4 linked regions of the Pelodiscus sinensis genome follow. The protein of the gene in region 1 binds, or shares a complex with, the protein of each later gene. Links are inferred from orthologs where the notes say so. Each region holds a gene or a part of one and is shown in the gene's direction. Other genes may lie near its edges. The genes, in order: EIF4E2, TARS1, EIF4EBP1 and GIGYF1.

The links.
Region 2: the proteins of EIF4E2 (region 1) and TARS1 are in contact, whole or in part, in a crystal structure (PDB 5XLN), measured with the Homo sapiens proteins. The link is inferred for Pelodiscus sinensis from reciprocal best matches to the Homo sapiens genes EIF4E2 and TARS1. Residues at the interface, in NP_004837.1 of Homo sapiens: His54, Pro55, Leu56, Gln57, Val91, Glu92, Phe94, Trp95, Arg96, Glu149, Asn150, Leu153, Leu156, Gly157, Glu158, Gln159, Met161, Val203; in NP_001245366.1 of Homo sapiens: Pro51, Glu52, Tyr53, Ile54, Tyr55, Thr56, Arg57, Met60, Tyr61, Ile63, Leu64, Glu67.
Region 3: the proteins of EIF4E2 (region 1) and EIF4EBP1 are in contact, whole or in part, in a crystal structure (PDB 5NVN), measured with the Homo sapiens proteins. The link is inferred for Pelodiscus sinensis from reciprocal best matches to the Homo sapiens genes EIF4E2 and EIF4EBP1. Residues at the interface, in NP_004837.1 of Homo sapiens: Glu53, His54, Pro55, Leu56, Gln57, Tyr58, Tyr64, Arg66, Lys83, Gln84, Ile85, Gly86, Val91, Glu92, Gln93, Trp95, Arg96, Phe97, Ser99, His100, Met101, Val102, Leu107, Phe113, Glu149, Asn150, Leu153, Gly157, Glu158, Gln159; in NP_004086.1 of Homo sapiens: Arg51, Ile52, Ile53, Tyr54, Asp55, Arg56, Phe58, Leu59, Met60, Cys62, Arg63, Ser65, Val67, Thr68, Lys69, Thr70, Pro71, Pro72, Asp74, Leu75, Pro76, Ile78, Pro79, Gly80, Val81, Thr82, Ser83.
Region 4: the proteins of EIF4E2 (region 1) and GIGYF1 are in contact, whole or in part, in a crystal structure (PDB 5NVK), measured with the Homo sapiens proteins. The link is inferred for Pelodiscus sinensis from reciprocal best matches to the Homo sapiens genes EIF4E2 and GIGYF1. Residues at the interface, in NP_004837.1 of Homo sapiens: His54, Pro55, Leu56, Gln57, Tyr64, Lys83, Gln84, Ile85, Gly86, Val91, Glu92, Trp95, Arg96, Phe97, Tyr98, Ser99, His100, Met101, Val102, Arg103, Leu107, Phe113, Ile137, Arg138, Leu139, Arg140, Gly142, Leu143, Ser145, Arg146; in NP_001362694.1 of Homo sapiens: Leu36, Ala37, Asp38, Tyr39, Arg40, Tyr41, Gly42, Arg43, Met46, Leu47, Leu49, Tyr50, Glu53, Asn54, Lys55, Val56, Pro57, Glu59, Leu60, Glu64, Phe65, Ala67, Val68, Leu69, Gln70, Asp71, Glu72, Pro73, Leu74, Gln75.

Annotation. Positions count from the first base shown.
Region 1 is NC_134720.1:49,306,347-49,313,560, forward strand, and holds the start of EIF4E2 (eukaryotic translation initiation factor 4E type 2), read left to right. Parts: upstream 1-4,207; 5' UTR 4,208-4,223; coding exon 4,224-4,360; intron 4,361-5,913; coding exon 5,914-6,028; intron 6,029-6,768; coding exon 6,769-6,903; intron 6,904-7,214. UniProt on the Homo sapiens protein: Recognizes and binds the 7-methylguanosine-containing mRNA cap during an early step in the initiation. Acts as a repressor of translation initiation.
Region 2 is NC_134716.1:107,887,917-107,895,584, reverse strand, and holds the start of TARS1 (threonine--tRNA ligase 1, cytoplasmic), read left to right. Parts: upstream 1-4,658; 5' UTR 4,659-4,700; coding exon 4,701-4,862; intron 4,863-5,276; coding exon 5,277-5,354; intron 5,355-6,240; coding exon 6,241-6,431; intron 6,432-7,668. UniProt on the Homo sapiens protein: Catalyzes the attachment of threonine to tRNA(Thr) in a two-step reaction: threonine is first activated by ATP to form Thr-AMP and then transferred to the acceptor end of tRNA(Thr).
Region 3 is NC_134738.1:15,247,702-15,255,169, forward strand, and holds the start of EIF4EBP1 (eukaryotic translation initiation factor 4E-binding protein 1), read left to right. Parts: upstream 1-4,457; 5' UTR 4,458-4,573; coding exon 4,574-4,715; intron 4,716-7,468. UniProt on the Homo sapiens protein: Repressor of translation initiation that regulates EIF4E activity by preventing its assembly into the eIF4F complex: hypophosphorylated form competes with EIF4G1/EIF4G3 and strongly binds to EIF4E, leading to repress translation.
Region 4 is NC_134734.1:8,963,618-8,971,162, forward strand, and holds the start of GIGYF1 (GRB10-interacting GYF protein 1), read left to right. Parts: upstream 1-4,545; 5' UTR 4,546-4,692; intron 4,693-7,545. Other genes in the region: chloride channel protein ClC-Kb-like, read left to right, coding at 2,106-2,192, 2,468-2,575. UniProt on the Homo sapiens protein: May act cooperatively with GRB10 to regulate tyrosine kinase receptor signaling. May increase IGF1 receptor phosphorylation under IGF1 stimulation as well as phosphorylation of IRS1 and SHC1.

The DNA of each region.
Region 1 (7,214 bases):
GCAGAGGCTCTGTGTCTCTCAGAAGCACCAAGAACCCAAAATGTCAGCAGAAGTCTGGGCATTCAGGGGTGCTTTTCAAAATATGCGACCAAGACAGCACAAGGAGAGCTGGGCAACAGCTGCGGATATAAGGCAGGGCGAGCGGTACGGCTGCCCTGGGCCCTGCGCTTCAATAGGCCCCGTGCATGCGTTACTACCTGTTGGCAAAATTGTGCTGCCTTGGGTCCCGTGCTTCAATAGGTCCCATGCTGTGGGCCCCGCAAAACTCTCATCCACCCCTGCTGGGCAAAATCATTCCCATTACAAAATCTTTTTCCATTGCAAACTGAAGATTTGGGCGGATGAACACAAATTGCAGATCTGGGTCTAGAACAGCTCATTGTTTTTGTCAGAATTAAAACAAAATCTGGAGGTCAAAAGAGTTTGTTCAGCATTTAAAAAAAAATGTGTTGACTTTTTGTTTTGGAAAGGTGTTTTGCTTTGGCAATGCCCTCCATTTTATTTTATTTTTTTTAATTTAAAATAGGCCTGAAAATTGAAATAAAAAAAAAATTCATTTTGGGCGATGTGAAACAAAACTTTTTTTAGACATTGCAGCTTGTCAAAAATTCCACATTTTCATTTCAGCTTACCCTGAGACAAAATTCTGTTCCTGATTATTTTTCCTCCCAGATCTGCCACCAAACCAAACCAAATTAGTGTTTCACACAACCCTAATTTCATCAGAGCTACCCCAAACCCAGGGCTGCTCTTAAAAGGCTTCTCAGAGAGACAAGGTGGGTAAGGTAAAATATTTGATTGGACCAATTTCTGCTGGTGAATGGAACATCTCTGAACTGCACATTACTCCAGATAGGCAGTTATAATAGTCAGTGTAATTGCAAGCCAATGTCGCCATCTAATGGCCATGGTTGTTCATTAAAAATAAGATTTTAAAAAAATATATTTTCTTGACTCATTAGATTACACACCCATTAAATAAAATGGAATTTGGAAAGAAAAACAAAGATAATCTTTATTATCTAGCAGAGTTCATCTGGCTGTTGGATAATTCAAGTGAAGAGGTTGAGAAAATCATGCTTAAGTGTTTCTGGCCTGAGTTGTAATAGAGATGTAGCCGTGTTAGTCTGATCATGCTGAAACAAGAGAAAGAACTATGCAGCACTTTAAGACTAACAAGATGGTGTTTTAGGTGCCCACAAAAGCTCATCACCTAATAAACCACCTTGTTAGTCTTTAAAGTGCTGCATAGTCCTGTCTTTTGTTCTGGCCTGAGTTGTTATGCTAGCAAATATTGTAACCATATAGAAGCCTGACGTGGGGCCAGTGTCAGCCTGAAGGCAGCAGGCATTTGCTCCCCAGGAGCAGAAATTTAAGCCCCTCAATAAGTGATCTGATATTTTCTGGTGTTGAACCCAACTTCCAAGAAGGGCTTCCAGGGCTGAGAGGGGGAAGAGAGATTAGAAGTGAACAGGCATGTAGGGCAGCACCATGTGGTCGGAGTGCCTGCTTCAGGTCTTTGAACATTTAGGTCTGTCTTTTTCAATGCCAGCCCTCAAGGGCAGGAAGAGAACATGAGCCAGGTGCAGCTACACTAGTCCAACTGCCCAGGGGCCCATACTGCAGCCAGGTAATATAGGCTGATTTGCATCCTAAAACAGGGAGCCTAATTATAGCTAGAACAAATTAATTGCTTCTCAATCTGGGGAGGACCTCAGGGCCTGAAAAGAGAACAGATGCGGGTCGGAGAGGACAGAAGTGAAAGTCAAAGATTCAAAATAGGGGAAGCAAACAGGGATCCTGAGCAGAGAACCCTGGAGAGCACCCACTGCTGCGCGAAGGAGTCAGGAGAGACCACCTGCATAGCAGTAAGGAACCGCGATGCATGCCCCAGTAGCAAAGACCCTCCGAGCTGCACTTCCTGCTCCTGGTTTGGTAAATGGGCGTTTTAGCCAACCCAAGAAGGGCTCCCTGCAGCCCCACAGATGGGGTGGGCATAGCTGAAGAAATGCGGGGGAAATAGGGTTGCCAGGTGTCTGGTATTTTCACCTCCTGTCTGGTAAAGAAAAAAATTCAGAAAATACCGGACACCTAAAAATATCCGGTATTTTCTGTTTTTTTCCCCTGCCAGGAACTGCAGAATGGCCAGGTGTTGGGGCTATGGTGAACCAGGCCCATAACCCTGGCTCCGCGAAGCCCCAGCTACCCCTGGACCAAACATGAAACACAGTGGTCTGTCAGGGACCCTTCACCCTCTACAGATGGTAAAAGTCCTGCCACTTTGTATCAGGGCCAGACACAAGGGTGTGGAAGTAGATTAAGGTGTTTGTTAGCATTCTACTGACAGGTCCTGCCCACAGGGTTGTGGGAGACAGGGGTGTGTGGATGGCGGGGGAGCGGTGTCAGCCAGTGCTGTGTGAGAGAGGTACTAGGGGACACATACAGGCAGGGTTGCCAACACTCTAGGATTGTCCTGGCATCTCTAGGAATTAGTGATTAACCTTTAAAAACAACTTTTAAATATGAGTCGTCCTGTGGCACCTCAGAGACTCACAAAAATATAAAGAGTATCATGAGCGTTTTTGGGCAAAACCCTCTTCTTCAAGACCATTTCATCTGATGAAATGGGTTGTGTGCACGAAAGCTCATGATAGATATCTATTTTGGTTAGTCGCTCAGGTGCCTCAGGACCACTCGCTGTTGTTAAAATGACAGACTAACTCGCCTGCCCCTCGGAGACTGATTAATCTTAACACGATGCTATTCGAGGAAACCTACAGGAATACATCCTACTGGTTGGGGGGAGCAGATGCTTGCCATGGGCGTTGGTGGGGGATGGAAGATGGTGGCCATGGGGGTGGGGGGGATAGAAGATGCTGGCCATGGGGGGGGGGTTTGCTGGCCATGGGGGGGGGTTGCTGGCCATGGGGGGGATGAAAGATGCTGGCCATGGGGGGGGGGGTTGCTGGCCATGGGGGGGATGGAAGATGCTGGCCATGGGGGGGGGGTTGCTGGCCATGGGGGGGGGATGGAAGATGCTGGCCATGGGGGGGTTGCTGGCCATGGGGGGGATGGAAGATGCTGGCCATGGGGGGGGGTTGCTGGCCATGGGGGGGGATGGAAGATGCTGGCCATGGGGGGGGGGTTGCTGGCCATGGGGGGGGTAGAAGATGCTGGCCATGGGGGGGGGTTGCTGGCCATGGGGGGGGATGGAAGATGCTGGCCATGGGGGGGGGTTGCTGGCCATGGGGGGGATGGAAGATGCTGGCCATGGGGGGGGGTTGCTGGCCATGGGGGGGGATGGAAGATGCTGGCCATGGGGGGGGGGTTGCTGGCCATGGGGGGGATGGAAGATGCTGGCCATGGGGGGGGGTTGCTGGCCATGGGGGGGATGGAAGATGCTGGCCATGGGGGGGATGGAAGATGCTGGCCATGGGGGGGGGGTTGCTGGCCATGGGGGGGATGGAAGATGCTGGCCATGGGGAGGGGGGTTGCTGGCCATGGGGGGGGGGGGTTGCTGGCCATGGGGGGGATGGAAGATGCTGGCCATGGGGGGGGTTGCTGGCCATGGGGGGGATGGAAGATGCTGGCCATGGGGGGGATGGAAGATGCTGGCCATGGGGGGGGGGGTTGCTGGCCATGGGGGGGATGGAAGATGCTGGCCATGGGGGGGGTTGCTGGCCATGGGGGGGATGGAAGATGCTGGCCATGGGGGGGATGGAAGATGCTGGCCATGGGGGGGGGGGTTGCTGGCCATGGGGGGGATGGAAGATGCTGGCCATGGGGGGGGGGTTGCTGGCCATGGGGGGGATGGAAGATGCTGGCCATGGGGGGGGTTGCTGGCCATGGGGGGGATGGAAGATGCTGGCCATGGGGGGGGGATGGAAGATGCTGGCCATGGGGGGGGTTGCTGGCCATGGGGGGGATGGAAGATGCTGGCCATGGGGGGGGGGGATGGAAGATGCTGGCCATGGGGGGGGGGGATGGAAGGGGCTGGCCAGGAGGGGGAGGCGGGGAGGGGGCTGATGGGACTGAGGCGCCCCGGGGTCACGTGGCGGGTGGGAGATGGGCGCTGCGACGCCACGTGCCTGGGGGCTGAACCCCGCGGGGCACGAGCCCTTCACGCGGGCTAACCCCGCCCACCGCGCCACGCTCAAGATGGCGGCCCGGCCACCCGTGGCTGTGACGCCCTGCGTGGTCTCGCGAGAACGGCCCGCGCGTCCATGGCGCCGGGCGGAAACCCGCGGCCGCGCTGCCAGGTTCCGTGCCCGGAAGTGGCGGAAGGTGGCTGGCGCGGAGCGGAAGTTCCCCGGAGAGACGGGCGGAGGCGGCGAGCGAGGATGAACAACAAATTCGACGCGTGAGTCTGAGGCCCCCCCCCCCCCGAGCTGCGGCCCGACTGACCGGCCCGGCGCCGCGGTCCCCCCCCCGGGGGCCCCGAGACGCGATGAGTCACCGGGACGCGCGGGGGGGCCCCGGCTCCCTCTGGCCGGGGAGCGGGTCCGGGAGCGGCGGGCAGGCGGCTCGGGGCGCTGCTGGGCCTTGTCTCGAGTGACCCCCCCCCGGGCAAGGCCCGTTCCCAGCCCCCCCACGAGCCTTTCCCCAGGCCCCACGTGACTCTGTCACCCCCCTCCCCCCCGCTCTGGGACGGGGCCAGCAGCCCGCGCCAGGCGCGTGTCGGGTCGGAGGCTCGCTCCGGTCTTTGCCCCGGTGCCGGTCTCGGGAGCGTTGGGAGGCCGGTTCCGTGCAAGATCCGCCTTGGGGTTCGACTCGCTCACGCCCTGCGGGCCCAGGCGCAGGGCAGCCCCGGGGGCTGGAAAAGTCACCTCCTGGAGAGCTGTAGTGAAGGCTCGGGATGCAAAGGGTTAACCAGTTACCCGGTGAGCATCAGCCTGACTGGTAAGCTTACCTACTGACTGGCTAATTGGGGTCCAGCCAGAGCAGCGCTGCCTGTGGCGCAGCATAGCAGGCCTCCTTCTCCCCCTGACTCACAGCGTCATGGCGCAGGCAGGGGGCTGCTCCAGGATTAACCGGCTAGACGTAGTCTTTAACTGGTTAACCCACAGTTTACATCGCTAGTTATGCTGCCCCGATCCCCAGAGTAGATACCACTAAGTTGACAGAAAAATTCTTTTATTAACCTGAAGGAGTAGATTTATTCCAGTGATTGGAAAAAACACTTTCTATTGCTGCAGTAAGTATCTATAGAGCCTGGCCTGGATACCTAATTTGTATCTGCAGCTGCGAAAATGATCTGTAGATATTTGCATCCACCTCTGTGGATATAAAGTGGGTGTCCACAGATTTGCAGGGCTCTAAGTATCTATGCAGCAAAGCTGCAGGTGTGCCACTGTAGAATTTGTGGTGTATACATACCTTTAGAAACTCAGGTAGTCCTGTGGCACCTTAGAGACTAACAAAAATATATAGACTCATGAGCTCTTGCGATGAAGTGGGTTTTACCCATGAAAGCTCATGAGTCTTTATATTTTTGTTAGTCTCTAAAGTGCCACAGCACTATTCATTGCTTTTAAATTTACAGATTAACACAGCTATCCTTCTGAGACTTGAGGAACTTGGCCTCTTTTCCCTTCTTTAGCTGATTGCTGTCAGTATTAGTTGGTGAATAGGCCCCTTAGTGATGTGTATGTTATAAATATCTTTGCTTAGTTCCCTGTTAAGAGTTGATGCTTAAGTTTGGGGTGCCTGTAGGCCAAGTGGTCTGAGACAGGTGTAGGGCGTGTAGGCTTTCTCGTGTGTAAGAATCTGTCGTCAGTAGACTTCCAACATAGACTCCTTTCTGCCAGTGGTTTGTGTCTTGGAGGAGGGGTCAAGTAATGTAAGTCTGATTTTGTAGGATGGCACCTCAGCCAGGAGCCATAAAGCTCATTCTTTGTCCCTTGCCTTTGTTAGTTTGAAAGATGATGATAGTGGGGACCATGACCAGAACGAAGAGAACAGCACACAGAAAGATGGTGAGAAGGAGAAAAATGATCGTGACAAATCCCAGAGTAGCACCAAGAGGAAGGTGAGTTCTTGACATCTCCTGCCATAATCAAGGGACAATTTTAGGCTTGAAATTCTGGCATCTGCTTGTGGTCAATGTGTCTCAGTGTATGGAGTATATCTAGGAATACTGTCCTGGCTTAGTGCTGTGATAGCATTGTGATGGGGAGCCATGTTAAATAGACTTTGAGTTACCTGAACATGAGCCAAGCTGAAGTATTTTCTCTGCTAGTGCAGCCAGAACTCTTTGCATAGCAAATTGTGGTCCATATGGAGATGGAAAGCAAAGCTGGACTCTTCCCCAGACAGCTTTTTGGAAAGTCTTGGTGTGGGGGAGCTTCCCATCACTTTCCCACATCAGCTGTGGGCTTTTTAAATGGTCTGCGTTTCTTTGCTGCCAGGGACTAAAGAGAATTTAATGCAGAGTTAATGCTCCTCAATCGTCAGGAGGACTTTCTATTGAGAGACGTTCCTCTTGGGAGTAAGCAGCAGCATCGTTAGCGCACCTAGTCCTACCAGATTGGGGAACAAATGTGCTAGGGCTGTCTAATATTCGATATGAAATCTAGTCAGTTGCTGTCAAACTAATGGTCTGTGTCAAGCTATTAACGTGAGATGAGATTTTTCTAGGAAAATGAGGTACACCGTTCATCTTACATTGGGAGCGTCTAATGGTGTGGGCTTCTAATGCTATGAATGTTACTTGTTCAGTCTTCCCTGGAGAGACATGTGAGAGGATAAATGAGCTTCTCTGTTCCCCAGGCTGTTGTCCCAGGGCCGGCTGAGCACCCCCTGCAGTATAATTATACGTTCTGGTACTCCAGACGAACACCTGGGAGACCCACCAGCTCTCAGAGCTACGAACAGAACATCAAACAGATTGGCACTTTTGCCTCGGTGAGTACACTCCAGTTGTTCCATTTTAGTGACCAAACATAGGGCAGGTTCTGGGAGTAGACTTTTCTCTGTGGTTATATACCTTTCACAAAACATAAAGGAAAACAGTTCATCTGCTGTGGCCATAGTGTTGGCTTCTGATTCACCTACAATAGATGACAGCCCTAAAAGAGACCAGGAAGCAGCATTGCCTGCCTTGTTCTAGGGGTGGGGCCTTCACTGATGGTAGCAGTGGAAACAGAACTCCCTCAGCTTGAAAGTAATGGCATGTAAGAAGCATTTCCATTCCTCCTTATGTCTGGCAATAGATA
Region 2 (7,668 bases), on another chromosome or scaffold:
ATCCAAAGCAATTCTCAACCCATTTTTAATTTTAAAACTGCAAAAAATTTTATGTTCTTAAGATCATATTTATGGTTAAATTATTAGATAGTGGCCTTATTGATTGTTTTTCCTATTTGTCTGTATAAAGATTAGTATAAGTTTACTAATGTTAATCTCCTTTGTTTGTCTTTTAGCTTTTCATTAAGTCTGTAACATTCAACATGGTCTACTGCCTAGTACAGTAAATTTTATTATCTGACTGTAACACCTAAAATCTAGAGCACCAAATCATTGTTGCAAGGGCCCAGAAAGCAGCCAACACAATAAAGATTCTCTGTGCAATGTAGGACTTACATAACCACCCTTCACCTATTTTATGGTTCCAGGGCAAGAGGTACCTTTTGAGCCCTCATGCCTGATCTACATTACAATGTTAGGCTGACATACCTTGTCTTGTGTGGACCTTATTTGTGCATATGTCTACACTAAAGCCTATCTCTGGCTAATGTAAATGCCCCATTACACCAATGTAATAACACTACTTCCTTAAAAGTGGCATGCTTGTGCTGATTCAAAATGCAGTATACCATGAGTAGGTATCCGTGTGCTTATCTGGTGCACAATCTGGTGCAGTTCCTCGTAGGAACTTTTTTCAGAACGGTGTGGGAAGGAAATTCACTTGTTCAGGGATCTCTGGAAATAGGGGTCAGTTTTCCATCATGCAATGCCACCCATATCCCATAATTTATGTACCTTTTAAAAAAAAATCTCACAAACCTATGTGGAATTTTTTGCTGTCTGCCATTTCTGACAGAAGCATAGAGCCTACTGAGTACTACACTATTATCAGGAAATGAGCATTGCAAATACAATTATTGCCTTTATATAAATAGATGGTATGCCTATATCTTGAATACTCTGTACAGATGGGGCCACCTTATCTCACAAAAAGATATGTTGGCATTGGTAAAAATGAGATAAAAAAGTTCAGGAAAGGGCAACAAAAATGATTAGGGTATGGAACAACTGCAATATGAGGAGAGATTAAAAAGGCTGGGACATTTTACCTTGGAAAAGAGATGACTAAGGGGGAATAGGACAGACAGAGGTCTTTAAATTCATGATTGGTGTTGAGAAAGTAAATAAGGAAAAGTTATTTACTTGTTCCCATAACACAAGAAACTGGGGGGTATTGCCAAATGACATTAATAAGTAGCAGGTTTAAAACAAATAAAAGGAAGTATATAGGGATATTTATGTGCAGCATGATGTCATGTAGTATATTGGGAAAGGTAATGAGCTGCTGCCATGGAGTTCTTCAAGGACTGTAAATGGCAGGGAATCAGATTTTTAAATGAATAAGTCAATCAGGGTCCCCCAGCATTTGGGTTTGCTGTATGAGAAGACTGAGGTTCGTGTACAGCTCCCTGTCGTTTTTCTGCTAGAACTCCTATGTACATGCAGTTCATCATATTGGTCTTCCAGGCTCTGGACCAGACTGTTGAAAGTGAAGCAGGACAGGGGAGGGAGGATGGAATGAGCAGGGGCAGGGGGCCTTGCAGGAGCACAAAGGAGATGGGGCAAGGGTATTTGGGTTTGAGATAGATCTTGAGATGCACTTAAAGTCAAAAAATGATCTTGTGCTTAAAAAGGTTGGAGACCACTGGTGTAGCTGGAGTCTAGCTACACTGCTGGATGTTTCTTTGTGGACTTTTGCAGCTCAGGTGTGAATTACAACAGAACCACTCCAGTTTATACTACTGGCCATTCTCGCAGACCCAGTATCCTAGTGGTGTAAATCACCTTTGTCCCCCACCCTTTGGGCTTAGAATCAAGGCCCATGGTTGTGCTCATTCAAAAAGGAACAGTCCTAGTCTTATAGGCTGTGTCTACACTGGGCCACTTATTCCAGAAAATCAGCCGCTTTTCCGGAATAAGCTGCGAGCTGTCTACACTGGCCCTTGAATTTCCGGAAAAGCAACAATGCTCTACTGTACAAAATCAGCCACTATTCCAGAGAAACTATTCTGCTCCCACTCGGGCATAAGTCCTTATTCCGGAACACTGTTCCGGAAAAGGGCCAGTGTAGACAGCCCAGTAGTCTTTTCTGGAAAAAAGCCCCGATCGCGAAAATGACAATCAGGGCTCTTTTCGGGAAAAGCGCGTCTACATTGGCCACAGATGCTTTTCCGGAAAAAGGGCTTTTCCGGAAAAGCAGCCTGCCAACGTAGACGCTCTTTTTCCGGAAATACTTATAACGAAAACTATTCTGTTTTAAGCATTTCCGGAAATTCATGCCAGTGTAGACACAGCCATAGAGTAGTTGTAGCTATGTCAGTCTCAGGATATTAGAAAGACAAAGTGGCTAAGGTAATAGCATTTATTGGACCAACTTCTGCTGGTGAGAGTGAAGTTTCCAAGCCACAGGGAGCACTCCTTCAGGTCTTCAGCACAGAGCCAGGTTCCAGGGTGAGGTTACAAACTGGCCTAGCCAGCTCTACCAACTGATGCAACAGAGAGTCAGGACTGTTCCCATTCCGGAAGCCAAGAGGCGGGTGTGGATAGACTTGACAGAGAAGGAAAACTTGTCTCTCAGCAGCGGGGCCAATAAAACTATTAGGCCAAGGCCCACCGCGTCTCTCTAGCCGGAGTCCCTCTCCCTGCAAGAGGGCGTCCGAAGGGGACCAGCCAGGCAGGCCTTTTAGCAAACGGGGCTGGGATCGCAGTTCAGCTCTGGAAGCCCGGGACGGCGAGAACAAGGCAGAGGGGGGGGGGACTCAAGCCGCTCCCTTAGCAAGCGGAGCCCAGCAAGGATGGCTGGTAGCGGGTTGCAGGGCCGCCTACGTGGGCTAGTCAATCCTCTCGACGCTCCCTACGGGTCATCGGCTCCTCGCTCGGGCCCACCCGCGGCAGGGCGGGGCCGCGCTCCAGGCGGCAGAGGGCTGGTCCTGGGCCGCCCGCGGCGGAGCTCACTGGTCTCACGTCAGGCCGGGCGGAGCGATGGCCCCGCCCTTTGACAGGCCCTGTCCCCACTCGGCGCCCAGCCAGGCGGGGCCCAGCGCTGCTAACTCCGCCCGCTTCCCGCGGTCGGAGGCGGGATCAGCCGCGCCCCCAGTTGCATCAGCTGCCGGAGCCGGCTGGGCCTGCGTGCGGAGCGAGTACGGGCAGCGGCATGGCGGGGGCCGGGAGCCAGGTGAGCGCCGCGCCGGTCTCCGGGGCTCTCCACGCGGCCCCTCCGGCCTGGGGCTGGGTTTGAACCGCGGGCCGAAAAGCCCCTGCGCCTTGGGGCCGGGTCACACACTGGCTGCTTCCCTCTGCTCCCCACCCGGCCCCGTGGCCGGTTGCCCTCTAGCTCCAGCCGGGTGTCTTAGCCCCGCCGGCCCTTTGGGGTGGCTGGGTGCGTGTGGTCTGGCAGCGCCAGCGGGGCGGGTGTCCCCCCCCCCCCACACACACAGCGCTCCCTTCTCCTGCCATAGGGGCTGCAAGGAGGGGAGTGTGATTGGGGGGATAGTGCTACAGCATCCCGAGGCTTGCAGTGGTTTCCATTGTACTCAAGGTGTACAGCTGGTTCGGTGACTCTCAGCACCCCCACTGTACACATTGTGCCAGCCCCCCTGCTTCCTGCACTGCAGAGCTGGCAGTCTAAATTGCCCTTCTCCTGCCCTGGTTCCCCATAAAGTCCATGGGGCTCGGTGCAGGCACAAGAGCTGCACTGATCTGATGCAGGATCTGGCCAGATGAACTCAAAAAAGAAACTGAAACAGTGCCAGAAAGTGCATGCAGGAAATGACCAGCATATACCGAACCACCAAGTAACTATCTTCTCGGTTAAAGCGCTGAGGAGTCCTGTGGCACCTTATAGACTAACTGAAGTGCATAAGCATAACTGGAGCATAAGCTTTCGTGGGCAAAGACCCACTTCGTCAGATGCATGTGGCGCCTGTGGTTTCACAGGACTCCTCGCCGCTTTTGCAGATTCAGACTAACACAGCTCTGATACTATCTTGTCTGTTTTTATCCTTTCTTCCAATGTTGTTTCACTTTCCTCATTAAATTACCGGTTCTTAATCCGTGATTTAAATGTGATGGGATGCACCACGTTCAACTTTAAGCTCTGGACAGCTCTGACTTTAAAAAAAGCATAGAACTATAAGCAAGGTGTTTTACGGGGTATAGAAAAAGGAAGTAGTGTAGTCAACTAGCCGATAAGCAAAAGCTTATAAGTTAATGCTATATACTATGTACATAGTACTTCCCCCTCCCCCCCCACAGCCACTACATTTTTTAGTAGTCTGGCCAGCAGCCCGGCTTAGTTCCGGCTCCCGCTGGGTCCAGGACCTACCCCCGCTGTGGCTCTGCATTTAAAGTGTATTAGGAGCCAGGCGGGCAAGCAGTCGGGCTTAGTTCCAGTTTGCGCTGGGTTTGGGAGCTCACCTGCCACCCCGGATTGCTGTTTCTTTATCAGAGGCAGCAGCACAGGATGCCAAGCAGCTGGTCTGCAAGAGGAGCTGGGTGTTTTGGGTTTTTAAACTGGCTCCTCTCGTGGACTAACTCCTGCCTGGCACCCTGCGCTGCTGTTGGCCTGCCCCCAGGGACTATAGAATAGTCGACTAACCAATAAGAATGCACAAGGTTACTCGATTAGTCAGTTAACCGATATTTAACATCTGTAGTGTGAACCTTATCCTTGGGGAGCCCTGGTCAGGTGGGAGCGAAGCATGTCCACGGACGCTGGGGACCTCCATCCCCGGGGCAGCAGCAGGACCGATGAACCCCATCCCTGGCGCGGATCCCCTGGCGGGAAGGGGAGAAACAGGGCCACAGAGGCTAGACAGCTCTGTCCCGGGGATCCCTGGCTGGACAGAGCAGTAACGGGACCGGTGAGTGGCAAAAGTGGGCCAGCCGGCAAACCCTGTCCCCAGGAAGCTCTGGACAGCAGGGCAGCAGCAGGATAGGCAAACCTTGTCCCAGGTAGGGATCCTCAGTAAGGCGGGGAAGAAGCAGGACTGTGGATGCTGGGGAGCTCCATCCTGGGGAGCTCCAGCAGGCGGGAACCCATGTCCAAGGCCTGCAGGCTGGAGCCCAGTGGCAGTGGGGCTGGCGCGGAGCCAACTTCAGGGAGAGGGAGCGTCCTGAGAGGCCATTGGCAAGGGACCTCCCCATATCCTGCAAATTCCCTCATTCGGGATGGGTCAAGTCCTGAGGGGGTTGGACAAGGGAGGTCCAACCTGTAAAAACGTGACCTCGAGAAAGATGAGTACAATAAAATTAGTTCATTTTACCTTTTTTTTTAGATACATGCTGGGGAAGAGAAGAAGGAAGGGGGAAAGAAGAAAACCAAAGAAGGGTCTGGTGATGGAGGCTGCACAGAGGTGAATTTCCAGTTCATTTATATGTTTTTAAATAGTTTAATTTCATTGCTGAATGAAAAACCAAAGACATCAGTGCACTACACCTAGGCTACGTTTAGACTGCATCCTTCTGCAGACAGAGGGATTCAAATCAAGCACTTCGAAAGTGCAAATGAGTCTGGGCTTCAAATATCCTGGGCTTCATTTGCATACTCATGTTCGGGTGCTGTGCCGATCAAGCGCCCTTTTGAAAGTGAAAGTAAAGTCTAGCCGCGACAGCGGGGAGCTTTTTTGGCAGATCCTGTACTCCTGAGGATCCCCGCTGTCGGTAATAGGTAAAAGTGTCGGTAATAGGTTAAATGGAAGAAGGAAGGAAGTAAAGATGGATGGAGAAGATGGAGTGTCAATACAGGTTAGCTGGGATGTTAGAAGGATTGATTTATTATTATAAGGTTGAGTCAGAATTTGTACTTCTAGGAGGCAAAAGTAGGAGATCTTGGCATATTTAAGTATAAAAGTTTTATGCTTGTAATTTTGCAGTATTGTGCTCTTAGACTCTTCCCATGCTCTCATTTATTACTGTGATGATAATGTCAGTCTTTTTTTCCAGCATATTTTAAGCTCTGTTAGAATTTGTCCATCTCAAACTGTTGTTGCAGTGCATTAACTGTTTTTTTTTTTTTTTTTTTTTTTTTTTTTGCTAAGAAACTAGCCTGGCCCCTCTTCCTTTGGAAAACTGTCATAAGCGCCCAGGCCCAAGTGACTTAGATTCCTTGGTCCATTGAAAATCAATTACATTCTGATTCCAGAAAATGTACTTCCTTTGCTTAATTTTCAAGTTTATTTTACATTAGAACTGGAAGTCTTTGATAAATACTTCTCCTTCCATCCATTCTTTTATGTGTAGCTGAATCCTTGGCCTGAATATATCGATCAGCGCCTAGAGATGTATCATAAACTTAAAGCAGAACATAATGCACTTCTAGCAGAAAAAGCTGCAAAAGACAGTAAACCCATTAAAGTCACATTACCTGATGGCAAGCAGGTTGATGCTGAATCCTGGAAGACCACTCCCTATCAAGTTGCTTGTGGAATTAGGTATGACTGACTTCTATGATCTATGCTATCACTTTCAGAAACAGCTACTGCAATTTGCATATGTGATCTTTTATAGTCCTTAGCATGGTGGGTTATTTATTTCTTAATACAACTTAATTTTCTTCAAGGCTATCTTGTTTTTATTATAAACCAGAAGATTTACCTAACATTCCTTGGGTCCTTCAGGGCAGGAGCTTGGGGATGTGTGGGGGTGCAGGGCAGGGGATTGAAGGTGTCAGGGGTTCAGGACTCAAAGTTGGGGGGGTCAGAAGGGGCTCAGGGCTGGCGGTGGGAAAGCACAGGAGCCAACTCAAGCCATGTTGCCTGGGGTTCAGGTTCCCAGGACTGGCCACGGCGGGGACTGTGCTAGCCAGAAGTGGGTGGGAGGCTTACTTCTTCCTCCTGCTGTCCCAATGGGCTTATAGCTGTCCTGGTCCCCATCTCTGGTCCCTTGTTTCCCCCCTGTGGTCATTACACAATATAAATATTCCTGCTAGCAGCCCCTCCCTTTCTGTGTTATGAAGAACAATCGCATTCCAGGCACATCCATTGTCCTGGCACAACCAAACCCTTACCTTGCTTTAAGTTATGTCAAGAGGAAGCTATATACCAATTTTAGTGGTCCTAGCTCTTACCATTTAGGAGGAGTCTTTGAACAGATAGACTCACTTGCTCAGAGACAAACTCTGTCAAATATATAGTAGATTCAAACTAAACAGCTTTCTCATTTCAAAACTTAATTCTTTGCCTTATGAAGATGCTATTTCTAAAATTAAAACATTATTTGTGCTGGATCCTGTAGGTACATAAATATGAGAGTAACTTTTACTAAGTGAGTACACTTGTTGAGTTGGAAACAAATCAAGCACATGAGTAATATTACTCACATGTATGAAATGTTTGCATGATTGGTTGCTAGCGCATCACATAGTTTAAACTATCCTGCATTGACATGTGGGGACAAGTCTGTAAATTTCAATAGGAGTTGATCATAAAAATATCTTAATTTAATTATCAGCTATATATTAGAGAGAGTCTGGCTATTCAAGAACTCCTAAATAGTAAGAGCTAGGATATCAAATTTGGTATACAACGTCCTCTTATCATAGGTAAGGATCTAGTCGTGTCAGGAAAATGGGGTGTGCCTGGAATAGGATTGCTTCTCAGAAAACCATATAGAAAAGAGACAGGATCACCAGGCAGGTGAAAAGATGAAAGGGGGTGGCTGCCCCAGCCC
Region 3 (7,468 bases), on another chromosome or scaffold:
CGAATCACCTCGTTTGCATGAATACAAACATGTGGCCAACCTTTCATCAGCTTGCTAAAGTGCCAGCAGGCGGGCAGGGGGCCTGCAGATGGACCGGCCCCTTGGGGAGAAGGGCTGAGCTGGAATCGGAGTGGCAGGGTGGTCCTGCAGATCGTGGCTGCCAAATGACTCACCACAAGAGGGGTGACTTTGCTCCAACGCACAAACACTGTTCATCTTAGTCACCTGGGGGCGCCAAGAAAGCTTTAATCCTAGACATACCCGGACACCAAGCAAAACTGCAGACTTACACACGGCTGCTCATCACATCTTCTGGGACTTGTGTGTGCACAGCCATTCACGGTAAGGGACCAAACTCAATAACAACACAGTTACACCCAAAACACACCTGTATGCGCACCCACACACACATACCCATGTGTCCGTGCATGCTCACACACCTATATACACTGACATGCCTGCATGCTAACATCCAGGCATATACACCTATCTCAAACACACACAAAACAAAAAACAACAAGGAGTCCTGTGGCACCTTAGGCTACATCTATGTACTTAAAAACTGGAGCATGTCCCCTCTCCATCTTCTCTTTTCCAGAGTAAACAAACCCAATTTTTTCAGTCTTCCCTCACAGATCAAGTTTTCTAAATAACCTTTTAATCCTTTTTGGTCGCTCATCTCTGGACTTTCTCCAATTTGTCCACATCTTTGCAGAAAGGTGGTACCCAGAACTGGACACCAGTCCTACTGAGGCCTAATCATCGCAGGATAAAGCAGAGGAATGACTTCTCATGTCTTGCTCGCAACACTCCTGCCAACGCATCCCAAAATGGTGTGAGCTTTTTTGCAACAGTGTTGCACCATTCACTCGTATTTAGCTTGTGATCTGCTGTGACACTGCCCTCTCCTCCCCCCCCCCCCCCCCCCATCTTTCTGCAGGACCCTAGACAGTCATTTCCCATTTTGTATGTGTGCAACTGATTGTCCCTTCCTAAGTGGAGCACTTTGCATTAGTCCTCGTTGAATTTCATCCTATTGACCTCAGATCACTTCTCCAGTTTGTCCAGATCATTTTGAGTTTTGACCCTATCCTCCAGAGCACTTACAACCCCACGTCTGCATCACAGTGTCATTAAGCCATGCTCAGCATTTATCTTGAAACTAGGAACCACTAGGTCAGTAACAGATCTGTGGGGCATCAATTCTTGGAATCGAATGTGGGTCTGACCCAGATCCAATCTGAAGTGAGTGTTCAGAGTTGTGGGATCCCTGCTTTTGATTCAGAGATTCCAAAGGGATTGTTGTAAGCAGCTAGCCAGCCAAAGAACGTCTCTGAACTAATTCCTAGAGTAGATCATAGAAAAATATTGGACCGCGATATAAATATTGTAGTGATGGAGAATTTGCCAAGACCCTGGTTAAAATTGTTCCAATGGTTAACTGCTTTCACCATTACACCTGATTTCCAGTCTGAATTAGTCTTGCTTCAGCCTCCAGCCCTTGGATCATGTAATATCTTTCACTGCTAGACTGAAGAGCCCCTTGTTAAATATTTGTTCTCTGTATAGGTATTTCTAGATTGTAATAAAGTTACCCTTTAACCTTCCCATTCTTAAAACTAAATATGTCTATCACTACACAATATCAAGAGTAGCTCTGTTACTTTCTACCAAAACAACAAGGAATCTGGTGACACTTGCAGAAAAACGAATTTTATTATGGCATACGCTTTCATGAAAGCATATACCATAATAACCCTGTTAGTTTTTAAGGTGCCACTGGATTGATTTTCACTACAAGGCATGCTTTCTCGTCCTTTCATGGTTCCCCTGGCTAGTCTCTGAACCCTCTCCAATGCAGCCACATCTGTGCTGAACTATGGGAACCAGAACTGGACACAGTATTGCAGCCGCCGTCCCACCCGCGCCAAATACAGAGGTAAAATACCCTCCTACAGTGTGGTGGTGAGTACTGTATGAAATGCAGAGGCAGAGAGAGAGAAAGACTGGCGCTCTCTCTGGTACTGCCTTTTGTGTGAGTCGCGGCATTTGTTTGACTCCATACGATGCTGATATTGAATCAGGAATTCCGGAAAGGGCCATTTGTGGTGCTTTGTGTCAGCCTCTCTCTCCCGTCACCTCGACAGGTGAGCTTTCAGCGGGAATGCAGGTTCACGCGTTTGTGACACTCATCACCCGCCAAGCGCCCAGGGGAGTAGGCTGTGAATTCTATCACTGCACAAATGTCTTGAGCGGTGCTGAAGGCCTCCCAGGAGGACCACCCTTGCTGTGGCTGCCTTCTCGGGAGGGACGCAGGGTGTGAAGTGCCCCGCTGCAGGAGGAAGCTGGGTAGCAGGAGTGGGGGCACGGTTAGAGGGGAAATGGTCCCAACGCGCTCATCACATGGGAGCACACTGTGGGACAGGCGGAGAACCTCTGTCGCAGAAATCCTTTCTCAGCCCCCTACCACCAAACCAGCCCACGGCCATGGCAATGCCTGGGAGGCTGCTCCCAAACCTGCCGTGAGGGCGAGGGGCTGGACTCGATGACCTCTCGAGGTCCCTTCCCGTCCTATGATTCTATGATTCATATTGCCCAAAGGTATTTCCTTCCTTGCCCTGCTTTGTCTGCCGGGACTACAAAGCCCCTGGGCCGGACTGGGCGTGCAGAGTAGCAGCAGGCTGCCACGCGTCCTACTGGCACGGGGCGAGGGCTAGTGGGGGCAGGGGGACGAGTGATTAGGGAAGGGTGATCTGCGGGGGGGAGAATGGGCAGGGGAGGGGAGGGGAGACATGGCGCTTGGGGGGAGGCTGGGGCAGCAAGAGGAGCCGGGGCAGGGGAGAGGAGCAGGCTGACGGGCAGGGGGATGGGGAGGGGACGGACTGGCAGCAAGGGGAGGAAGGGGGATGGGAAGGGGAGGGGCTGGGAGGAGAGGGCGGGGCTGGAGGAGGAGGGAGGGACAGCTGGAGGAGAGGGCGGGGCTGGAGGAGGAGGGGGGGCAGTTGGAGGAGAGGGCGGGGCTGAGGAGCAGCCAGTGGGATGGGAAGGGGAGGGGCTGGGAGGAGAGGGCGGGGCTGGAGGAGGAGGGAGGGGCAGTTGGAGGAGAGGGCGGGGCTGGAGGAGGAGGGGGGGCAGTTGGAGGAGAGGGCGGGGCTGAGGAGCAGCCAGTGGGATGGGAAGGGGCGGGGCTGGAGGAGGAGGGAGGGGCAGTTGGAGGAGAGGGCGGGGCTGAGGAGCAGCCAGTGGGATGGGAAGGGGCGGGGCTGGAGGAGGAGGGAGGGGCAGTTGGAGGAGAGGGCGGGGCTGAGGAGTAGCCAGTGGGATGGGAAGGGGCGGGGCTGGAGGAGGAGGGAGGGGCAGTTGGAGGAGGGGCGGGGCTGAGGAGCAGCCAGTGGGATGGGAAGGGGCGGGGCTGGAGGAGGAGGGAGGGGCAGTTGGAGGAGGGGCGGGGCTGAGGAGCAGCCAGTGGGATGGGAAGGGGCGGGGCTGGAGGAGGAGGGAGGGGCAGTTGGAGGAGGGGCGGGGCTGAGGAGCAGCCAGTGGGATGGGAAGGGGCGGGGCTGGAGGAGGAGGGAGGGGCAGTTGGAGGAGAGGGCGGGGCTGAGGAGCAGCCAGTGGGATGGGAAGGGGCGGGGCTGGAGGAGGAGGGAGGGGCAGTTGGAGGAGGGGCGGGGCTGAGGAGTAGCCAGTGGGATGGGAAGGGGCGGGGCTGGAGGAGGAGGGAGGGGCAGTTGGAGGAGGGGCGGGGCTGAGGAGTAGCCAGTGGGATGGGAAGGGGCGGGGCTGGAGGAGGAGGGAGGGGCAGTTGGAGGAGAGGGCGGGGCTGAGGAGCAGCCAGTGGGATGGGAAGGGGCGGGGCTGGAGGAGGAGGGAGGGGCAGTTGGAGGAGGGGCGGGGCTGAGGAGCAGCCAGTGGGATGGGAAGGGGCGGGGCTGGAGGAGGAGGGAGGGGCAGTTGGAGGAGGGGCGGGGCTGAGGAGTAGCCAGTGGCAGGGGAAGGGGCGGGGCTGGAGGAGGAGGGAGGGGCAGTTGGAGGAGAGGGCGGGGCTGAGGAGTAGCCAGTGGCAGGGGAAGGGGCGGGGCTGGAGGAGGAGGGAGGGGCAGTTGGAGGAGGGGCGGGGCTGAGGAGTAGCCAGTGGCAGGGGAAGGGGCGGGGCTGGAGGAGGAGGGAGGGGCAGTTGGAGGAGGGGCGGGGCTGAGGAGTAGCCAGTGGGATGGGAAGGGGCGGGGCTGGAGGAGGAGGGAGGGGCAGTTGGAGGAGGGGCGGGGCTGAGGAGCAGCCAGTGGGATGGGAAGGGGCGGGGCTGGAGGAGGAGGGAGGGGCAGTTGGAGGAGGGGCGGGGCTGAGGAGTAGCCAGTGGGATAGGAAGGGGCGGGGCTGGAGGAGGAGGGAGGGGCAGTTGGAGGAGGGGCGGGGCTGAGGAGTAGCCAGTGGCAGGGGAAGGGGAGGGGCCTCAGGCGCCGCCGTTGCCGTGGTGCCGTGCGCGGGGCGGAAGGGGCGTGGCCGCCGGCTGCTTCCGGGCGGGCGCGGGCCGGGGCAGGGGGCGCGCGGCGCTCGGGCAGCCCCAGTCGCCATGTCCGGGAGCTGCCGCCAGGGCCACACGCCGAGCCGGGCCATCCCCGCCAAGCGCCTCAGCCTGCCCGACGGGGCCGCGCTGCCGCCCGGCCACTACAGCACCACGCCGGGGGGCACCGTGTTCGGCACCACGCCGGGCGGTGAGTGGGGCGGGGCCCCCCGGGCGGGACCTCCCCCCCCCCCCCCCCCGCGGAGCCGTGAGCGGAGCGCGAGGGGCCGGACGGGGCTGGGGGTTGGGAACGCGCCGCTGCTGGAACTTGCCCCGCTGCATGTTTGGGGGGGCGCCCAGGGGGCCCGTTTAGAGCCCCCCCCCCCGCCTGCCCGCCGCTGCCTCGTGTGCACCCACTTCCCCAGCCCGTAGGGCGCTCGGCAGGGAGGCGGTGTCGCGGGGCGGGTGAGGGAGGGAGGGAGGGAGCACTGTGCAGAGCTTGGGGACAAAGGGGGCCCGACGCAGGGATAGGGGGCAATAGTTTGGGGGTCCCGAGACTGGGGCGCTCGTAGGTGCCAGAGGGAAACAGGCGGGGCTGTGCCCACGGGGGTTAGCACCAAACACTGGTTCACCCAGGACACCTGTTTCCCTAAGTCCAGCCCTGAATTGAATATATTCAAAGTTCTGTCAAATGTACAATGTAAATAAGTGGGTAGGAGGTTTTTTTTCACTAATATTACATGTCAAGTGACCTTAGGAGGTGCATGTAACAATAGTAGTTTTTTTAAAAAAAGAAAAAAAAAGACAGAAGTATGAAGATTAAATGGGTGTGTTTAAAAACAACAACAACAGTTGGGCTAGCCTGAGAGAGTCTTGGCACAGAAACTGAAGGTCTTAGTTTCAGTTGTGCTAGGTATCCATTTTGTGCTCTGAGAGCGCAAGCAGTAGGAATTCTTAAACATTAGGCACCTCTTGCAACAATTGTCACAAGTTTAGGAGAATTGGGATCAACTGATTATTTTCCAATACATGTTCTGCAGTATATTTGTTAGGGATGCTAAGTATCGGTTAATCGAATAGTCGAGTCACCTCATGAATTCTTATCCGTTAGTTGACTATTCTCTAGTCCCCGGGGGTGGGGCCGGCAGCCACTGTATTAGAGGCAGAAGCGTGGGGTACCAGGAGGGAGCTGGTCTATGAGGGGAGCCAGTTTAAAAACCAGCTCCCCTCACAGACTGGCTGCCTGTTACCCTGTGCAGCTGCCTCTGATAAAGAGGACGTTTCTCAAAATATCTAATCACTAGTAATAGCCTTTATTTTCAAGAATCCTGTTTAGTTTCTCAGTGATTTGGATAATCCAGAGAATGAATATTTTAATGTGTGCTTGTTTTTAAGATTTGAAAAACTAGGGTGAGTTTAAAAGCTCCATATCGCACTTCAGTTCTGCTTTTATCTGTTAACTTACATTTTATTGCTGTTAGTACTTACCATATGTTTATGTTCCCATGGCTATTCTTAGAATGATTAACAATGGAGTTTTAATCTCTCTTTCCCAAGACTACTGTCAATAGACTCTAAAATAAAATTCCTTCAAATCTCCCTTTAAAAAATTTGAATTAAGCAAATACTAACAGTTCTTAACACGGATCAGCCACACAGATCTTTCCTGTGCTGATCCATAAACCAAATAATTATTATGAAAAGGCAATTGCACTTCACTGTTCAGTAAGCTTTCAGGAGCAGAGACAGTTCTCAGGTGCATTCCTATGTTAAACAAATGCTTGTTCGTTTGAAAGGTTTAGGTGTAAAAACCTTTAGCAAAATGTTACTGTTTATTAACACGTGTACAGTGAAGCATTGTAAACAATACATCAGGTTGCACTTCAGAATAAAGGAGCAAATGTAATAGGGCATGGAACACCCATTTCTAATTTTAAAGAGCCAAATATTATACTCTTTAATCTCCCAAACAGTTCCATTGATTTCAGTGGAACTGTGTGGGGAATACAGGATTTAGTGCCAAAATCAGAAATCTGCAGTAACCGGTTCAGCCATTGGTGCAAATTATCACGGTTCCATTGGTGTATTAGAGGCCTGATCTACAGACCTAAACTTTAGGTTGACCTAGCTGAGGGACATAGTTAAGCCAACCTAAGCACTGGTAGAGACACTGTTAGATTGAAGGCAGAATCTTTAATTGGGGTACTGTCTTCACGATAGTAACATAGCTGCAGCTGTGTCTGTAGCACAGACATATCCCAAGTCTAGTGCTGAGGAAGTTTGGAAGCACAAATGGCTTTCAGAAAGCATTGTCCTGTAATTTAAAAGTGGTTTGCCTAATTTCGGTAAGTTCAAAGCCAGCTCAATATATGTTTTCTTCCTTTACCTTGAGTGAAAATGAGTTATGGGGTGATACTGGAATGTGATTTCTCAGAGAACATGAGAGAGCTAGACCTGAAATAGTCATTTTAGTCTCTTGTCAGTACTATTGCAGTGAGCTTATAAGGTTTTGAATGATTTATTAAAGACCACTGATTAGGATGCTCTTCACAGCTCCAAGCTTCTGCAGGCTCTGTAATAGGCTTTCTGCAATAGGCTAATCTTCACACTGCAGAAAGAAAGGGAAACAGTTTGGTTTTTCAATCACTGCACACATGCGAGGCAGCTCTTCTTTGCTGCTTGCTCCCCAGTTCTGACTGTAGGATGGCTCCACTAAGACAGAGGAGCTCTACCTGGATTCACTCGTCCTTAGGTGACCCTGAGAGGCACCACTGGCATCCCTCACCTCCACTGTAGACTGCTGTTGTCCGTGAGGAGCTCAGAGCGGATGGTTTTGAGCATCCCAGTTTGGTTGCTGGCAGAGGGATTTGCCAGTATGAAGAATGTTCCTGCAGTGTACGGTGCCTGTCCCCTTCCACCCATTGCTAATGGACTTTGGGTTGGCAAGACCTCGCTGTGCCGGGG
Region 4 (7,545 bases), on another chromosome or scaffold:
ATACAATTAGGGAAGGAAGGGCTGACATCCATTTGTGCATGCAGTTAGGGTGGGAGAAGGTGGCAGGTATATTTGCATATTAAATTTGGTGGTGGATCTTAGTAAATTTGCATAGTCAATCAGGTGGGAGGGTCTGGCATGTCAGTTTGCATATGCAATCAGGATGGGAAGATGCGATCTTCCAGAACTCTACCACATAGCAAAGATCTGGCCTTAATGCAATACAATTTTTCATGTATTAATTAGCAACACAGGATTTAAAAAAATAATTAAATTCAGAGTTTTAGATATATGCAACACTTATAAAATATTTTAATAGATTTTTTTATTCTTACCTTAAGCCATTAACACCTAGGTAAACTTTGTTTGAAATGTACTCATGCGGCTGCATCTAGACTGGCAAGTTTTTCCGCAAAAGCACTTGCTTTTGCGCAAAAACTTGCCAGCTGTCTACACTGGCTGCTTGATTTTGCGCAAAAGCACTGATGTTCTACTGTCCGAAATCAGTGCTTCTTGCGCAAATGCTTTGACGTTCCCGTTCGGGCAAAAGCCCTTTTCCAGAAATGTTTTTGTGCAAGAGGGCCAGTGTAGACAGCTAAAAACTGTTTTGCACAAAAAAGCCCCTATGGCGAAAATGGCGATCGGGGCTTTCTTGTGCAAAACCACATATAGATTGGCATGGACGCTTTTCCACAAAAAGTGCTTTTGCGGAAAAGCGTCCGTGCCAATCTAGACGCTCTTTTCCGCAAATGCTTTTAACGGAAAAACGTTTCCGTTAATAGCATTTGTGGAAAATCATGCCAGTCTAGACATAGCCATGCAAGTATTCTGGTACAAACACTCATCTTATGCAGCCAGCCCCATATCTCCTTTCTCAGGAGGCTTGAGAGTGCTGAGTTCCTGCCTTTCTCTCCTGGGGCGGATTGGACTCTCCAAACTTTCCTCTGCTCTGACTCCACTTCAGCCAATTACCCACCCACCCACCCACTCACTCACTCCCCCCCCCCAGTCACTTATTGTCTCCTTATCTCACTTTTTATTACCTGCTCTGGGAGCTGCTCCATTTCAAGCATGGAACAGCCCAGTTTAACTGTTTGCTCAGCAAGATGACATATTTCCCCTGCCGGTCAGCTGAGCTTCTTGCCTGCATGAGAGCTTTAAACTTCTGAGCAGAGCTCAGAAAACAGCTATGCCATCATGCAGCCATGCAGCTTACTGGAAACTTAGGTGGGAGGGGTTGTGCATTTGCATATGCAAATGAGCACTGTCTGCACATTTGAGTTGCTTGCTCATTTGCATATGAACAGTATAAGTGGAGACTTATTTGCATACTCAATAAGCAATACTCATTTGCATGTCATTTTGGTCCTCTCCCCCCTGCCCCCCTCCCCATCACTGAGGTACAGGGAGCCACTGGGCCCTGAATCCCCATCCGCAGCCAGACATGACTCTCCGCCAGCAGGTAGAACAGATAATGTATTAGTTCACAGGGACACATTGTAAAACAGACTTGTTACCCCAGGAACCAGAAGCAGCCAATACAATTTGTCTTAGGGAGAGGGAGGCCCAGAGCCAGGGCCCTGGGTCCCCTCCCTGTCTCTTAAGCCAGCAGAGACTAATTCACACACTTAGCTACTGGTCCCTGCCTTACTGGCAGTCCCACTTCCTCCTTTGTCCAGCTTCTCAGGCAAAAGGTGTCCCTTGTTTTCACCTCATGTTCCAGGGACTCTTGGCCATTGTGAATGTGCTTGCCTGGGCAGCCTGGGGCAGCCTCCCCTCAGTGAGAGTCACACCCAAAATTCCCATCTCCATCGGGGCACTGGTGCAGTGCCTAGAGAAACTGAAGCATGCACACACAGAGTTACTACAGAACAGTACAGGACAATGGAAATCACATGCAACATAACAAAGTGAACAGAGCGAATAGAATCCCCACATTGTCACCCCCTGATAATGTGCCACCTGCTGCCAAGAGCCCCCCCCCCCCCCAGCCCCACTGTCCTGCAGTCTCAGTGAGGGCTGATCCCTAACCCTACCCTATTTTGATCCATCCTCCCCTCCTCAGTTTGTCTCCTGACATGCACACACCCATTTCTGCTCCACAGTGTTATGACCTCTTTAACCTGCTGGGACTGCGGACAGCATACGTCACCAACATGGGCCAGCTGGTTGGTGTGGTCAGCCTCCGAGAGGTAGGGCTGAAGGGTGGGAGGCACAGGGGGGCATGGGGTGGGGAGCACAGGGCTGTTGCATGGATCCTGGAGAGGTCAGGGAGCTCATGAGGAACATAGGGGGCAGGTTGCAGGGTCTACTGGGTCAGGGAGAGTCTTTGGGGTTCAAGAAATTCAAGGAAGGAGCCGGGGCAGCAGGTGGGGGTTATGGGAAATGAGGGGGTTCAGGGATTTGGGGGCTGAGAGGTGATGGTGTGGGGTGTGTCCCTGACGTGCTGCCTCTGTCCCCCAACCAGCTCAAAGCCGCTGTGGAGGGATCAGTCAAGGGCACTTTCGCCAAGCGCCAGCCCCATGATGAGGGGCAAGTCGAAGGAGACCCCGATCCCAATGGATCCTCAGCCTAGCAGGGACTGGAACATGCGGCCTACTCCTGATTCCACATTCCTCTGGAGCCCATGGGGGACAGGGCAGGGGGAGCTACCACTTAGCCCCTCTCTGTTTCTCTTGCACTCCAGCTACAATAGCCCTGGCCATTCCAGCAACCCCTAAATTATTAAACCTCCATTTTCTGCCCTCACTGAATAATGTGAGTAACTTTTGGCAGCTCCACTCAAAATCACCCAGTAAAGATCCAGTTACATTTTTTGTCGGTGTTTATTATTCCTCCTTTCTACATCTTTCTAGGGGGCTGGACGGTTAGAGCTGTGGGCTTGGGAGCCAGGACTCCTGGGTTTTCTGTCCAGCTCTGAGTGGGGAGTGGAGGCTGGTGGGTAGAACAGGGAGGCAGACTCCTGGGTTCTCTCTCCTGAATGTGGAGATGTGATGTAACAAGCTAGTTGATTCTGCAAGCAGGCAAAGAGACTCCAGCCACAGTCATGATGGTCATCGTGGTGCCTGGATGTGAGATGATGCCATCATGTTCCTACACAATGACAACATGGTCTTGTGTTGTCACAGGTGCACTGTGGGATGATGTTTTTCCGTTGATGATATCGTAGGGTAGATGTAACCTCTCAGCATTGTGTTTGACATCAGGGCCTTCTGCTGTTGATATGCTGGAAGCTGTGTTTGGTCACTGGACACCCCAGTGACTTTGTGGCTGCATTTGGTGACATCATAGTCTCACATTGCAGCATAATGCCACAATATCATCATGCACCATCAGGAGTTGCCAGGAGGAGTATGTGGGGCTATGGTAGACTGAGGAATAACTCAGTGTCCTGAGATAGTGACCTAGGCAGCGGGGCCAGGTGGTGGCACTTTTTACTGATAGGGTTGCCAGGTGTCCGGTATTGACACGGACCGTCCGGTATTTTCACCTCCTGTCCAGTAAAAAAATTCAGAAAATACCAGACACCTAAAATGTCTGGTATTTTCTGATTTTTTTTTCCCGGACAGAAGGCGAAAATCCCAGGTGCTTACCAGGTTCCGCAGGGGAGCTGTCCGGCCCGGAGCAGGAAGACAAGATGGTGGGTGGCCGCCAGCAGCCTATTAGGGCCAAAAAGCCTCAAAAGAATTTCTTAAAGGGGTCACACTTTTTTTTTAATTAAAAAAAAATTTTTTTGCTCAACAACTTTGGTCTCCCCCTTTTTTTTCTCAATAGAATTTTTCCCTGGTGTTTTATTTTTTTGGGGGGGGGTGTTCAGTATTTTTTGTTAAGCCATCTGGTAACCCTATTTACTGAGGCAGCGTGACACAATGGCAGCTGCTGAGATAGTGACAACACAGGGCTGGGGTTGACATCGCAAGGTGACACAAGGACATCACACTGCCTTCTGGAGACGTTATCTGGTGAAGCAATGACATGGTGCAGATGAGATCACAGGGCAGGACAGTGACAGCAGAAAGCCATGTGATGACATCACGTGAGATTGATGATGTCATAGGGCTCGTAGTGACATCACATGGACACAGTGTGTGACAATTGCACCACAGGTCTTGGTGGTAAAGCCGACTGGTGACCTCACAGTTCGGGAGAGTGGTGACGTCACCGTCTTCTAAGGAGGGGGTCCATCGTTTTGTGAAGGGATCGTCACGTGACCCGAACGCGTGACCTGGGTAGTACGTCGGGCCAAGGCCGTCGTCCGTCACGTGACGCTGTGGCGCGGGGGCTGCTTTAGCCTCCCTGCGCAGGACTATGGTGGCGCCGGGAGGGGGTGGGGAAGGAGAGATACGCGCGCGGCCATAGCGAAGCGCGGGGTCACGCGAGCCGGGCGGCAATTTGGCTTCTCCCCTGTCATGTGGCTCCCGCGCTTCCCCCTCCTCTGCGGGCTCCACCCCATCACGTGACACCCTCCTCCTGCGGCCGAGCTCCTGTGTCACGTGGGCCCTTGAGCTCCCCCTCCGCGTTCCCTCGTCACGTGACGGGGCTCCGTGCCGCCATCTTGGTACAAACACAAACAAGCGGCGATAGGCGGCGGCGGCGGCGAGAGACCCGGAGTCCCCCCCCCGCCTTCCTGCCGCGCGCGCGGCTAGGCCCCGCCCCCTCCGCGCCAGGCCCCGCCCCCCGCTGGGCGCCGCGGTGAGACACGGGGCCCTTCCTTACCCGGCCCGTCGCTATGGAGATACCGTGGGGAGGGGGCCCTAGAAATCCCGGGCCGGGCCCCGCGGAGGGGTTGGGGCGGCCCCTCCTCGACATGCCCGCAAAGCCCTGGGAGGCGGACAGTGGGGTGCCATCGGGAGGGCAGGGAAGGGGGAACCCTTGGGGGAATCGGCTGAGGGGTGTTTGGTGCCAGCCCTCGGGTGTGGGGGTGCTGTCCCGGCTCACCCCCCTCCTACGCAAATGTTCCTGGAAGTGGAGTGCTAGGGGTGGGGCTGCCTCCTTGCGGATGCTGTGCAGACCCCTGCCTGCCCCCTTCCCTCAAGGATGCGCCTCTGCCCCCCAAGTGCTGTGCATTGGTTCCCCTCTGCCCAGGGATGTGCATTGATCTTCTGGGTTGGTCCCCTTTCCTGACTGTGGCTGTAGAATTGGCCCAGACATTGCTGTGTCAAACTTTTCTTGTTACCCCACTTTCCCATTCCAGGGCTGGTGGACAAATTGGGGGGAGGGACTCGTTGTGGGGGGCCTCAGAAGCCCCCTTGTTTCTTGTTGTTCAGGCTCCCTTTCCCAGGCTGTGTGTGTGGGGTATTTCTCTAGCTACCTTCCATTGCAGGGACGTGTGTCGTGGGTGCTGGTTGTCTTGCTGCCCTTCTGCACAACTGGCAGTCTAGCCAGCCTCTGCCTTTTTGCCTAGATATGTGTTGGCTCCTTGCTCTTGCATGAATTTCTAGGTCTCACCTATAGTTGCAGGGATTTACTGAAAGAATTGAGATGCCAATGGAATTGAAAAGCCCCAAGCCTGTTACATCAAACATCACGTCCCCTGTTTTGCTGGGTGTCGCACTGAGATTGTGGTCCCTGGTTGTGCCACATGTTGCATAGGCACACCCCCACCCACCCAGATGAGATCAGGGGTCGGCCCCTGTTGTGCTAGGCACTGATGTGGCTGTTGTCTGAGGGAATGAAAGACACTTTTAGCTGGCAAAGGAGTTTACGTATGAACAAGTTGTTCTTGGGAAGACCAACTGGGGGAACGGTCTTGTTGGAAATAAGGTGTTCGTTTTTGACATGGTGGGTAATGACTCATTGGGACAACATACTAAGGTTTTGGAGTGTACTCTCCAGGCTGTATTCCTGAAAACCCTGCTTTGGGTCTGCCTTCAGAGAGTCAGAGTAGATATTCACAATGGTCCCTTGGGGTCTCTGCCCACCACTCAAGTGTCTGCTCTATTCTGCACTGGGGCTAGGTACCCAAGCGAGTTTGTAGATGCTCAGGGCAGCAGGAAACTTTCTGAGCTATACAACACTGGCATGGCTGACTTTCAGAAAAATGAGTTGCGGGTGTAAAGCATGAAAACAAATGTGGCGCTGCATAAAATATCTTGGCATAAGAGTAGGTGCAGAATTCATTGGCTGTATTATAACAATAACAGGGATTTGGGGGAGCCCTGTATTACAGCTGTGCTGCATAGCCTCCTCCTGCCAACTGAGCTCAAGGGGCCCCCCAGTTGTGCCAGGTGGTGCACAGGCCCCTGCTGGGTGAGCTCAGGGGCTGCCCTTTGTGCAGGGGGCTCCTCGCATGCAAGGAACCCTGTATAGCTTGGCCTAACGTTGTGAGGGCAAACTGAAGCACAGTGAAGGGAAAGCAATCAGATGGTGGCGGAGCTGGGGAGAGAACCCTGGCATACCAGTGCAGTGGTGTTGCTTCCTCTGGGACAAGTGCTATACAAACCTGTGCTGGAAGAGCTTACAGGCTGCTCCCCATTGGTCATCCTGAGGTCCAGATGAAGTCCTGGCTAGTATGAGAGCCTGTGTGCGCTCCGCCTCTGCTTTGCTGCCATCTGTCACATTACTCACTACTAGGAATGCTTGGTCAAAGGGGTGTAACCACTAGACCCCAATGGGGCACCTGAAAACTGCCAGCTTGATAGAGTGACTGTGGTTTACTAAGTCTGTTCCCTCAATACAGCTTGGGAGACATGGTCACCAGGGCTCTGCTGCAGGGCTGGGCTTAGACCTGGGATCTTGGTCTCCCAGCTTTAGATGCTGCATTTCAGTGTTGTCATCTCGCTGCCCTGAGAGGCAGAAATGCAATTTTAAAATCTGCATTGGGGCTGGGTTTGGAGTAATCCAAGAGACCATGAAAAGGTGACTTGATCCTGGTCTCTATTGTGGGGAGAGAGCTCTCTGAGGGTGACTCAGTGCTGGGGAGCTGCAGTGAGATTAATTCACACTAGAAACAAGTCACAGCTTTGGACCAGGGAGGGAAATTAACTAGGGATATAATCGAGGAGTTGAGTATTCGACTACCTGATAAGGCTGTGCTTATTAGGTAGTCAAGTCAATTACTCAACTACTCATTTCCCCCACTCCTTGATGCTTCTGTCAGAGGCAGCAGGAGGGGGGTGGTGTAGGGGAGGCTGCTGTGGGCTGAGACTGGTCTGGCAGCAGTCCCTGTCCTCTGGGGTCCCAGTGGAGAGCTGGGTCCCTGTTCCCTCGCAGACAGGGGCTGGTGCTGCAAAGCAGTCCCTGTTCGCAGTGGCTCAGGCTGGCCATGGGCAGAGGCTTCTCCAGCAGCAGTCCCAACTGCCTCGAACAGGGGCTGCTACTGGGCTGACATTGCATCGACTACACAATTAGCCAAATAACTGCTCTTCAACATTCTTAAAATTAACCTATTGCAGCAACTGACCCATTGCAGCAACTGATGAGTGGGTTCTCCCGCTCCTGGAGTTTGAATCGGGTTTGGGGAGTGTCTTTCTAAATGATATGCTCCGTATCAAGCAGAAATTTGGGCTTGATACAGGAAACCTGGGACAGTCAGTTCTCCGATTT